Linked DNA regions of Caenorhabditis elegans. The protein of the gene in region 1 interacts with the protein of each later gene in a biochemical or structural test. Each region holds a gene or a part of one and is shown in the gene's direction. Other genes may lie near its edges. The genes, in order: cep-1 and cbp-1.

Region 1 (7,358 bases):
CAGTAATCACAGGACGAATATCTGGATTCCCTATTATATTCATGTACTGACGCATTGCTCTCTCGTCAATGATATCACCATCTGGTGTACTGCAGGGCCCAGAAGTCCACTCGCGTTCTTCAATCGGCGAATTTCTAAAATTTGGAAATTTGAGAAGAGTCAGTCGCTACATGAATAAGAAACCTACCTTTTTGTATTCGCAGCCATCTTTGTTACTGGTTTAGACAAAGTGGAAAGTGAACTATCAGCAGCTCTCTGCTTGGCTTTATCCTTCTCTTCCCTTTCAACAGCTTCAATTTCATCTTTCCAATCCTCTTCTTCATATTCGGCAGTAGAGAAGAAGGCTTTCGATTCAGGTGGTTGATAGCCAGTCATTGCAAGAATTTGATCCAAATAGAAAACTTTCACATCAAATGCTCGAGATTCAATACGAATCACATCCATTGAATGATTTTCAAAATAATTCGAGAACAATTGCATATTTCCTTCGATCGTTGCTGACATCAGAATGACTTTGAGATCTGGACGCATTTTTAGACATTCACGTAGTGCAATTAGAAGATAATCTGTGTTGATTTCACGTTCGTGGATCTCGTCCATCACAATGTGCGTTATTCCAGAGGCAACTGGGTCAGATGTGAGCATTCTTAGAAGAACACCAGTGGTACAATATGTCAGAACAGTATCGTCGCTTCGTCTGCAAAGAAAAATGAAGTTGAAACAAAGTGATATCGAGAGAAAAGTGTGAATTACCTGCTATCAAGTCTAACTTGATATCCAACAGTGCGTCCAATGGGCTCTCCACGTTCCCTCGCAACTCGTTCAGCAATTGAAATTGCAGCAATACGACGAGGTTGTGTGACCATCACACGAACATGTTTATTATTTTCGTGCGCTTCATCGAGAATGAATTGTGGTACTTGTGTAGTTTTTCCACATCCAGTTCCTCCACTGATGATAACCACATTGCACGAGCTAATAGATTTCAGCACTTGGTCACAATATTTGGAAGCTGGCAGTGAATTTCTGAAATTTTTAATGTTATAGGAGTAACTATTTATACAGTTTTCACAAACCTGACTTTTTGTAACTCTTTTGAGCATTTTGACTTTGGTGGGATCACCATTCTATCACTAATATGCCCCTTCGTGGTGTGCATTTGTTTTGTCTGTGTCTCTGTCAAAAACTCGTCCATTTCTTCTCTGGTGATCGGATGCTTTTCGACAAACTTCGACAGCTTCTGAAGACACTCGAAGGATGGAGTGATTGGCTCAGTTGCAACAAGAGTTGACTTGGATAGTCTGTTCACTCTCTTCGACAGAATCATGTACCGATCTGGCTCTCTTCCATGAGATTTGGTTGTCATTTCATTGAGTAGCGCGACCTCGTGCATCACCTTTCTCTGATCTCTTCCCATAGGTTCAAGTGTCGTGTTCTTTTGTCCACTTTTCAGAAACGAACGAATGATTTCATTCGCCACCCGTCGATACTCTTTGCGAGTGTCATTATCTGTACCTCGTGGCAAGACCCGCGATGCATCAAACCTGAAAATTGTTTACAGTCATTTGATGATTGAAATATAAGATTTTTCAAAAATATTTGTTTTTTTAATATTAATTTTTTTCAAACAGAACTCACCCGTTTCTAGAACAACGTTTGCTATCAACTCCACCCCGAAAGAATCCAGGTGGTTCGTCTGACATTATGCTGCAATTTTATGAGAATATTCAGACGCAACAACAACGTGACAAACGACGAGATAAAAATCTATCAAGGCTGAAACAATGACAAAAAAGAAATCCCGACAAATGAAAATGGCGCCTAAAACAAACTTTTTTAAAGGACGTCGGGTTTCATTCACAGATGGGTCTCGGAACGAAATCATGGAGTACGGTATCACACACTTGAATTTGAAAGTGAACTTCTTTATTTGTTTCTCTTGCAAGTTTAAACTTAAGTTTTTAATTTTTTCTGCTTGTTTCTCAATAAAATAAAAATATTACTTGATTTGTAGCGCAGAATGGAACCCGATGATTCACAACTCAGTGATATTTTGAAAGGTGAAAAGCTAGAAATCTTGAAATATAGATTTCAATTAAATTTGCTTTCAGATGCAAGAATACCCGATTCGCAGGACATCGGCGTAAATTTGACACAAAATCTAAGCTTCGACACTGTCCAGAAAATGATAGTGAGTTTCCGAAAAAAAAAAATCCTAATTTTCAAATAAATAATTTTATCAGGACGGAGTATTCACTCCAATATTCAGTCAAGGGACTGAAGATTCACTGGAAAAAGATATATTAAAGACGCCTGGGTTCGTTTAAAAAAGAAAAATATGATTTATATTTGAAAATTAATTATTCAGAATTTCAACTATCTATAACGGAATACTGGGCAATGGCGAGGAAACCAAGAAAAGAACGCCAAAGATTTCCGATGCTTTCGAACCGGATTTGAATACTTCTGGAGATGTATTCGACAGTGATAAATCAGAAGATGGTTTAATGAATGATGAATCATATCTATCGGTTAGTAAATGAAATAGGAAGTGAAGAATGCAATGAAAAGGCATAAAAAACTAATTGAAGACAGTTGAACTCTTCTACTTTTGCAAATTATCAAAATACAATCATTAAATAATCCAAAGCTTCAGAATACAACGTTGTCGCAAGTTGTGCTCGACTCCCAAAAGTATGAATATCTTCGAGTACGTACAGAGGAAGAACAGCAACTTGTAATTGAGAAGGTGAGTATTATTGAAATTATATCTATAGAGAATCTAATTTCCAGCGTGCCAGAGAACGATTTATTCGAAAATCGATGAAAATCGCGGAAGAAACAGCATTATCCTATGAAAATGACGGATCGAGAGAGCTTTCTGAAACTATGACACAGAAGGTTACACAAATGGATTTTACGGAAACAAATGTGCCTTTTGATGGAAATGATGAGTGAGGAGTTTTGTATTTTTCGGATTTAGTGGAAATTTTCAATTAAAACAAATATATATTTAAAGGTGGACTGTTGCTTTGAAATCAAGACTGCCGCTGAAAGTTTAATATATATTTTTTGAGCAAAACCGAAAAAAATCCAACTTTTATTTTCTGGATTTGTTTTTTGGGTTTGGAGTATTTTTAAGAAAAACTCTCATTCACCCTATTTCACGGTATTTTCAGATCATCGAATTTGGCTGTAAGAGTTCAATCAGATATGAATTTGAATGAAGATTGTGAAAAATGGATGGAAATTGACGTTCTTAAACAGAAAGTGGCAAAAAGTTCAGATATGGCATTTGCAATTTCATCGGAACACGAAAAATATCTTTGGACTAAAATGGGATGTCTAGTGCCGATTCAAGTGAAATGGAAATTGGATAAACGTCATTTTAACAGTAATTTATCACTTAGAATCAGGGTGAGTTGGCGTTAGGATCAAGGGTGTCAATGTCCCGTGAAAATTTCAAAAACGGGACAACGGGACGTCCCGTTTTTTTGAAAACACTCAAAAAACGGGGCAAACGGGGCGGTTAAAAAAAAGAGTGCATAGTTGGCGTAAATTTTAGTGTATTCGAGGCAAACTATTAAAAGAAACTGCATGTAAGTCATTAATCTGCATGAATTTAAGTCTTGAAACAAAACTCAAAAACAGAACTTTAAAATGTGCAACAAAATCATGAGAGAAATTGTCCCGTTCCCGTGATAATTTTAACAACGGGACAACGGGACGTCCCGTTCCCGTGAAAACACTCAAAAAACGGGACAACGGGACATGGGACTTGACACCCTTGGTTAGGATGTAAATGTTTTCACTTTTTGAAAAAAAATCTCTGAGACTACCGTAATACGAAATAAACATTTATTTTGTGCAAAAAATTCAAATTGAGAAAAGAGGCACTAAGTTTGTAAACATTTTCAGTTTGTGAAATACGACAAAAAAGAAAATGTCGAATATGCGATTCGAAATCCAAGAAGTGATGTGATGAAGTGTCGAAGTCATACTGAACGAGAACAACATTTTCCATTTGATTCATTTTTCTACATTAGAAATTCAGAACACGAATTTTCATATAGTGCGGAAAAAGGTAACGTTCGAAATATGAATATAACGGCGAATTCTACAAAATTTTGGTATTATCCAAACATGAAATATTGTGATTTTTGCACCACAAGTACGGTAGTCTCGACACGACAAATTTTTGTTAACTGTAAAATGGAATGCACCTTTAAAGAGTACCGTAATTTTTTGAAGCTGTTTGTTGCGGATTTTTCATAGTTTTTCGATGAAAATTTATTTGGAAACTCAAATAAAACAACAAAAATAACATTAAATTTTTTAAAATGTAATTAAATGGAAAATCGCAATTTTTGAGAAAATCGGCAAATAATTCCGATGGAACATTTTAAAGTCAATTTTTAAACATTTTTTTCAAAATTTTCAGATCAGGCGAATAACTTTCTTAAATATTTTAACACTATTCTAGTTGAATCAACATGTTCAAAATTATTGCATAATAAATAATTTTCAGGAAGTACATTTACATTGATAATGTATCCAGGCGCAGTTCAGGCGAATTTTGATATAATCTTCATGTGTCAAGAGAAGTGCCTTGATTTGGATGATCGACGAAAAACGATGTGCCTTGCGGTCTTTTTGGACGATGAAAATGGGTAAATTCAGACATAATTTCAAATTTGAAAAAAGAATACTGAAAAAGCTTTCTACTACTGTCCTACTGTTGAAGAAATATGCCTTCCTCTATTCACTTGAAACAGTGTTTCTTTTCTACTTAACAAAAAGTCAAAGATTACTTTCAAATAATCAAAATAATTTAAAATATTTATTCCAAAATAGTTTAAAAACGACATCTACTGTTCTTACTATTTCCAGATAGGGGGTCGTGTAAGAGAAATGTAAAAATTCTAGGCCAGTCTGGAGTCATTTAAAAACGCGGCAATGTTTACCGCGTTTCAAATCAATTTTTTGCTAATTTTTTAATAACACTTATTGCTTGATCTTTATTCATAATCAAATACATTTGTGAATTGTTGATCTTTTTTTTTGAACATTTGTTTTCACTCTTTGAATTGGTTCTTTTGAAAAAGCTCTTTATAATCGAGTAAAATTAATAGTGAAAATCTCTCTTTAAACATTTTAATATACTAAATAAAAACCATTTCAGAAACGAAATTCTCCACGCATACATCAAACAAGTTCGAATTGTTGCCTATCCACGACGTGACTGGAAGAATTTCTGTGAGCGAGAAGACGCAAAACAAAAGGATTTCAGATTTCCCGAGTTACCTGCCTACAAGAAGGCGAGCCTAGAATCGATAAATATCAAACAAGAGGTCAATCTAGAGAACATGTTCAACGTGACCAATACTACTGCACAGGTTTGTCTAGAATATGATTTAAAAGAATTTGGAAAATAGTAAATAACTTCAATTTCCAAAATCATGCCTTGTAGAAATATCAATTTTCTGCCAGAAGAATATACCATATTTATCATGATTCTTTTCAATTTTCTATAGAAAAACGTTTTCTTCTTGTTTCCGTCGAATGAACAAAAACTGAATTGAAATTCGATATCTTATCTCCCAATGACTTCCTTTATGCGTAATGTTTGCTCGACCACAAAGCTTTGAAATGTTTTATTTCGATCTAATTTTTTAAATATATATGCTCTAATTCCCAAGACATTCAATTATTTTCTCAACGCAATATGAAATAAGATTTTAAATTTACAGATGGAACCATCAACTTCATATTCATCTCCATCAAACAGTAATAATCGGAAGAGATTTTTGAATGAGTGTGATTCTCCAAATAATGATTATACAATGATGCACAGAACTCCACCAGTAACAGGTTATGCAAGTCGTCTTCATGGATGCGTTCCTCCGATTGAAACTGAACACGAAAACTGTCAATCTCCGTCGATGAAGAGAAGTCGCTGTACCAATTATTCGTTTAGAACGCTCACTGTAAGTATTTTTAGCTCACTCTTAAAGCAATATTATAATTAATTTTGATTCACAATAAATTTCAGCTGTCGACTGCTGAGTATACAAAAGTCGTCGAATTTCTGGCACGCGAAGCAAAAGTTCCCAGATACACTTGGGTTCCGACGCAAGTAGTCTCCCATATATTGCCAACTGAAGGACTTGAAAGGTATTTATAAAGATTTATAAAGATTGCCGTAATTTCTTTTTTTTGAAGATTCCTCACCGCTATAAAAGCAGGGCACGATTCAGTGTTGTTCAATGCAAACGGAATTTATACAATGGGGGATATGATTAGAGAATTCGAGAAACATAATGACATCTTCGAAAGAATTGGTATCGATTCTTCGAAATTGTCGAAATACTACGAAGCGTTTCTCAGCTTTTACCGCATCCAGGAAGCGATGAAACTGCCAAAGTAAAAATCATATCACCACCTGGTTTAATCGCCTAATTTGTTTTCACAATATTCATCCTTTTCAAAGCACCGCATTTCTCACTAGATACTCAAACTGACATTTGTTCCTTTTTATAATCGCATTTTTTCGTAATAAAGTTTGTTCGTTTTATCAATTCAAAACTAATTTTAGACAGTCCGGCTACGAATGATGTTTACGGAGACAAAACGAGTCTGTCGACGAACATAAATCGACTCAGAATGAGAATGTCACCGAGACTTGAAGAGGTATTTGATACTACAATAAAATCTGCTTCCTTTTTGAATCAAATCTGCACGTTGCAATCGAATCGATTGCTTCCCACAAAGCTCAACTACGTTTAATGAATATCTTCATCATAACGGTAACGAACAATGAACAACAAATAGATTTAGATGAATCCGATCTTGTTGGCAACATCAAGAGCATCGTAGTCCGAAGCCAATCGAACGTAAGCTTTCTTCTGTTGGAGTGGAGTAATCAGGGTGTTGACCTGTAAATTTGAAATATTACGTGAACTGATAATTAGGAACATACCTTAACAGCCTTGACGTTGTAAAGGGCATGGACGGCTCTCTTGATGTGATGCTTGTTGGCCTTCTCGTCAACAATGAAGACAAGGGTGTTGTGGTCTTCGATCTTCTTCATGGAGCTCTCGGTGGTGTGTGGAGCCTTGATGACAGCGAAGCTATCGAGCTTGTCTCTGGCTGGAGCAGACTTGCGGGCATATCTATAAAAATCTGTATTAATAATCGATTTTTATTAGAATCGTCTTACCTTGGAGCTCTGGCAGTCACAAGGGTCTTTGGGCGTCTGAAGTGGACTGATGTACGAACGTTCTTGCGAACGTTAGTCTTGCTTCCCTTGACGACAGCTTTCTTGGCTTGGATAGCCTTTCCCACTTTGTTTGATGACG
Region 2 (5,116 bases), on another chromosome or scaffold:
GATACTATGTTTATTCATATCATTTTTGGTTTTCAGTTTAGGACCCTGTTGGAATTCTGCTTCCAACGAACATGACCGATTGTAGATTTTTCTATTCTAGAAATATTCGTATTCATTCACATATAATATACTCAACACGTCTAGCTATTCCCACACTTTATGTTTAAGAACAGTTCAATCATGCGCATTATCGTAAGAATCATGAATTACTGTATATTCGGATCCTTAATTGCACCTTCGATACCGAAAGATAAGGAAACGAGAGCGTAGAGAAACGGACGGAACGCCCAGCGCTGAGCAGTAGAGGGGCGCATAGAGTGTGAAACGGAGGCCCCGCCCCATCTCGGCCACACTATTACAATCTTGAGGACAGCAGCACGGCGTCGTCGTCCGGAATCTCAGTCTTCATCGTCGTCAACTTCAGAAGTCTATTGGGATGACTGAGAACTACTGCCAGTCTACCACCCTCCGCCACCCTGTCGCTCCGCCTCTCTTGGTGATATCGACAGTCGGACGAGGAGGGCTATTGCCCCGCCTCTCGCACTTTTTGAACTGCCGCTCTTCCGTCCTCCTCAGTTTTTTTGCTTCTCCGGTGGTATTTGATAATTTCCTTTTAGAACATTACACTTTCGATTATTCTCTATCTATTCAAGCCACTGCCGGCTCATGAGAGTTCAATGCGAGCTCACAAACTGAACCATTAAGTGCTCAATCGTGGTTATCGATTTTTCAGAGCTTCAAGTCTGGCTCTTACTCTGGCATTACACGAAGTGATAATATACAGTATTCAACTACTAAATACTATTGCTCTACGATTTTCTATGTATTTTGCTCCTAGTAGCTCAAATTCATTATTAAATTTAACTTTTATCTTTGCAACCTCATCATTCATCTATCTGTTTCGCTCTCGTTCTCTCATCTTTCAAACTTTGTTAATAATGTTATTTTCTTCAATATCACACCAAAAATTATAATCAAAACTTTCATCTCGATCCATTAGATGCTTGTAAACGGAGCCTGTCCAAATGGCATATTCCTTCGTGTGCGTGCGTGTCGCGTGCGGTTAATGTTCTACCGTATCTCGCGAAACGCGGTTTTCGTTGCGAGACACCCACAGCATGGGGCACCCGCTGTCGGCGTTCTCTCCCGATACACACTACTTCGTGGGTGGCTGACTCGTGCTGTCTGTCGTCTCTCCCACTGACCATGTTATTTTGACGAACGGTGTTCTGCGCTTCTTCACGATCATGAACTTTTGAACGTGTCACGTGGAAAATGTTTTGCAACTTTTTAAGTCAAAATACAGTTCAGAATCGGGTCAGTAGTACCATGTGAATCGACGGGATCATCTGAGAAAGAGAAGTTAGCCTCATAAGGTTGGCTTAGCAAATATCGATCGAGCTAGATATACCTGTAAGTATCTAGAGCATTCATGTTTTTAATGGTCCCAAACACCTTTAATGCTTAAAAATACCCGAATTTCACAATATAGATGCCCGCCTTCTTCATTATGCATAGTATTTTTTAAAAATATCTCTCAAGACTGCATAACAACTTTTTTTTGTTAATCCGTATATTACTATAGTGTTTCTAATTAAAATTTGTTTTCGAAGTTTTGCAAAATTGGCTATGAATCCAATTTTAAGCTCTAAATTTATGATAGCTACAGTAACCCATTCATTGGAATTTGATGTTATTAATTCAATTTTAGCATTTAAACGCTCCTTCTCTATTATTACACGCTTAAACAACTTATACAATGGTGCAGGTAAACTTTAAAAAGTGCAACCATCCTCCGTTCATTCTATTGATTTTCCATCTCCTTCTCTCTCACTGTCTGTCTCTCTTCAATTCGCCTCCTCTTTTCATAAGTGCTCTCGCTCTCTAACCACCCTCCACTCATTACTTCACCGATGTTCTTCTCACTCTTCCTCCTCCCTCCTCCGTTCACCGACAAAAATCCATATATCCATTTCATTTTTTTCAGAAACAAACAGCTATATCTGGTGATTTTGCCAAACTAACCCAAATAAGCGGGAACTCTGATGAAGTAGTGGTTGACGTGGGAATTCAAAAACCGACGGACGCAACCAATTCAGGTGTTCCGAGAAGTAGAAAGAGTTCACTTGGTTCGAATTTTGTCAAATATATACATTTTTCTACTAATTGATGGATGAACCACCATCAAAAAAATCTCGCGCTGATAGCGGTAAGTTGCTAGGAAAGTTAAGATGCTACGGTATGATCCTTTAAACTTTTCAGACTATGATTCTGGGTTAGATGCGCTAAGTGCTCTCGAAAGTCTCGAAGCATTCCCAACTTCTAGTAAAGATACAGATGTAAGTTTTTTTGTTTGAATTAACACTCTGTTTTATAAAAATTGTTGTTCAGGTAGACAATAATCCAAGCACATCAGCTGGAGGATCCGGTGGTCCTTCTGGCTCGACACCTCATCCACAAGGCACTCCACAACCAGCACCATCAAACAATGGCGGGTTCAATCTACAACCAGGACAGTCGCAACCTCAGCAGCCGCCACAGAATATGGGAGGAGGTGTCAATGGATCAGTGCTTCAAGAACTTCTAATGAATCCATCACAAACGTCGAACAATTCACCTCGGCCGCAGGCATATCCGCCTGGACAGCAAAATGCATTTAATAGGAGTCCAATGATGCCAAATGGTACACCGAATATGATGTCACCTCCATCTATGGGTCGAGTGCCGGGGCCCAGTCCTGGAGGTCCACAACCACCAGGCCCAGGCCAACCACAAATGCGACCAGGCCAACCAGGAATGTTCCAAGGAGATCAGCAACAGCAAATGATGATGGGTGCACAAGGACAACAATTCCCAGGAATGATGCATCGATATCCGTACGCACAAGGTGGTCCTCCACCAGGAGCCCAGGGAATGCCTCAAGGATATCCAGGAGTTAGTCGGGGCGGACCAACTCCTGGACAACCCATGGGACGTGGTGCTATGATGAATGGAGCAATGCCAAGAAGTGGACCAATGCCGACACAAGGAAGACCTGGAATACCTCCAAACCAACAAGCAATGATGCAGCCAATGATGACTGATCGGCAGTTTATGCAACACGGACAATATGGTCAGCAGCGACCAGAATTTATGCAACAATATGGTCGTCCCGGTGGATATCCAATGATGCATCAAGGGGTAAGTAGAAACTATTTCCTGATTTCTATTTCATTTTGGTTTGATCTTTAAAAAATGCGGGAATTTTTTTTGTTTTTAACCTAGAAAATTGGTAAGATCAGCATGATCTTAACTGTGCGATTCTGACAATTTTTGAAGATCAAACAAAAATGGAACACTTATTAGCTTGACGTGAATTTGGCCAAATCAAAATCGATGTGTAATTGAAACTTAAGTTTCCAATAATTCCCTAATCTTCCACAAATATTGGTTGGAAGTTGCTTGGAATCATAACAATAATCTTCTACATTTCAGATGATGATGGACAGTAATGGTCAACCGATTCGAGGCCCGAATCAAATGATGATGATGAGCAATGGGCATCCAGGAATGTCACACGGTCCTCCAAATGGTCAACCTGGACCACAAGCTGCTGCAGCACAACACGCTGCTCAACAGCAAGCTGCTGCACAAGCTCAAGCTCAGGCGGCTGCACAACAACAACAGCAGCAACAACGAGAGCAAGAAGCTGCGGCGGCAGCTCAACGAAATGGTGCTGGAAGGGCGACAACTCCTGGATCAAGCATGCTTGCAACGCATCAAGATCCCGAGAAGCGGAAGCTTATTCAGCAACAACTTGTTCTATTACTTCATGCACACAAATGTTCTCAACGTGAGAAGGTATGTTATACAGTATGTTCTGGTTTCCTTCATACATCATCAGCTTTTACAGGAAAATCGTGATTTCGCTGCGAAGAATCAACCACCTCCACATGCTGCCTGTACATTACCCCATTGCTCAACGATGAAAGAAGTATTGACACACATGACAAGCTGCAATGTTGGTCGTTTATGTCATTGTAAGTATATTACCCGTCGTGTCGCTTCTTTTTCTCTATCTGGAAAGAGTTTCGAACATTTTCGCAAGAAGAAGCGCCTATTCCCACCCAAAATTTCGCTTCACTCTAGCCACTGTTTGAAATCTCTTTCAGCCGATACCACACAAACTACAAAAAAATGTTCAGTCGCTCATTGTGCATCGTCTCGCCAAATAATAGCTCACTGGAAAAACTGCTCAAGGGAAGATTGTCCTGTCTGCAAACCACTCAAAAGGATACAAGATACTCCATTACAATTTTCATGTACGTTCTATCCTACTCAAGAACATTTTTTAAATATTTGATTATTTTCAGTGCCCGATCTTGCAAATCTAATAGGAGTCAACGGGAATTCGAACGGAAGCGCAGAAGGTGATGGACTTCATCAGTTTGGATCGCCAGCGATGCGAACTGGAAATATTACAAATTCTCTATTCGAAGGATTCAATGGCAATCCATTCCAAAACGGACCAAATCGTGGAGGACCGAGACCACCTGGTGGAAATGGAGAAATTCCAAACTTGCCACCACCAGATATGCCAGATTGTACGAAAGAATGGCATCATCAAGTCACAAAAGATCTCAGAAATCACCTTGTCGGAAAATTGGTTAAAGCGATTTTCCCGGAACCGAATCAGGAAGCGATGAATGATAATCGGTTAAAAGATTTGATAGCCTATGCCAGAAAAGTCGAAAAAGAGATGTTTGAATCTGCAAATGACAGAGAAGAGTATTATCATTTGTTGGCTGAGAAAATTTACAAGATACAAAAAGAGCTTCAAGAGAAAAAGAATTCAAGACTCAATCAAGGAGCTGCTGCACATGATCGTAAGTTTTTTTTTTTTAAAATTTCACCCTTTAACCAATTTTCATTTCAGAATACGCAATTCCACCGTCGAACGAGCTCGCTCAGATGCTTGGTGTGGAAGGTGGACGTAGTGATGTTCATTCTGAAGGAAGTAGTATGGCAGTTGCACCAAGTCAACAAAATCAACCATGGGGAGGTGCTCCGAATTCCAACATGCATCAGCAGATTCCTCCGAATGGACAAGTTCCACAGGTCAATAATTCTTCGACAT

Evidence for each region.
Region 2: the proteins of cep-1 (region 1) and cbp-1 form a complex in vitro, tested with the Caenorhabditis elegans proteins (one study listed by BioGRID).

The regions. Positions count from the first base shown.
Region 1 is NC_003279.8:8,322,281-8,329,638, forward strand, and holds cep-1 (Transcription factor cep-1), read left to right. Parts: upstream 1-2,014; 5' UTR 2,015-2,020; coding exon 2,021-2,060; intron 2,061-2,111; coding exon 2,112-2,191; intron 2,192-2,243; coding exon 2,244-2,317; intron 2,318-2,368; coding exon 2,369-2,531; intron 2,532-2,656; coding exon 2,657-2,749; intron 2,750-2,793; coding exon 2,794-2,954; intron 2,955-3,179; coding exon 3,180-3,417; intron 3,418-3,918; coding exon 3,919-4,084; intron 4,085-4,528; coding exon 4,529-4,670; intron 4,671-5,182; coding exon 5,183-5,396; intron 5,397-5,750; coding exon 5,751-5,987; intron 5,988-6,052; coding exon 6,053-6,174; intron 6,175-6,222; coding exon 6,223-6,427; 3' UTR 6,428-6,579; downstream 6,580-7,358. Other genes in the region: ythc-2 (putative ATP-dependent RNA helicase spindle-E), read right to left, coding at 1-134, 188-697, 754-1,026, 1,077-1,544, 1,639-1,703; rpl-23A.2 (Large ribosomal subunit protein uL23B), read right to left, coding at 6,834-6,935, 6,980-7,172, 7,220-7,358. UniProt on the Caenorhabditis elegans protein: Transcriptional activator that binds the same DNA consensus sequence as p53. Has a role in normal development to ensure proper meiotic chromosome segregation.
Region 2 is NC_003281.10:9,764,529-9,769,644, forward strand, and holds the start of cbp-1 (Protein cbp-1), read left to right. Parts: upstream 1-1,981; 5' UTR 1,982-2,169; coding exon 2,170-2,209; intron 2,210-2,262; coding exon 2,263-2,339; intron 2,340-2,391; coding exon 2,392-3,180; intron 3,181-3,474; coding exon 3,475-3,840; intron 3,841-3,892; coding exon 3,893-4,019; intron 4,020-4,151; coding exon 4,152-4,301; intron 4,302-4,352; coding exon 4,353-4,865; intron 4,866-4,915; coding exon 4,916-5,116. UniProt on the Caenorhabditis elegans protein: Acetyltransferase enzyme. Acetylates histones, giving a specific tag for transcriptional activation. May prevent DNA damage-induced apoptosis by inhibiting cep-1-dependent transcription activation of the programmed cell death activator egl-1.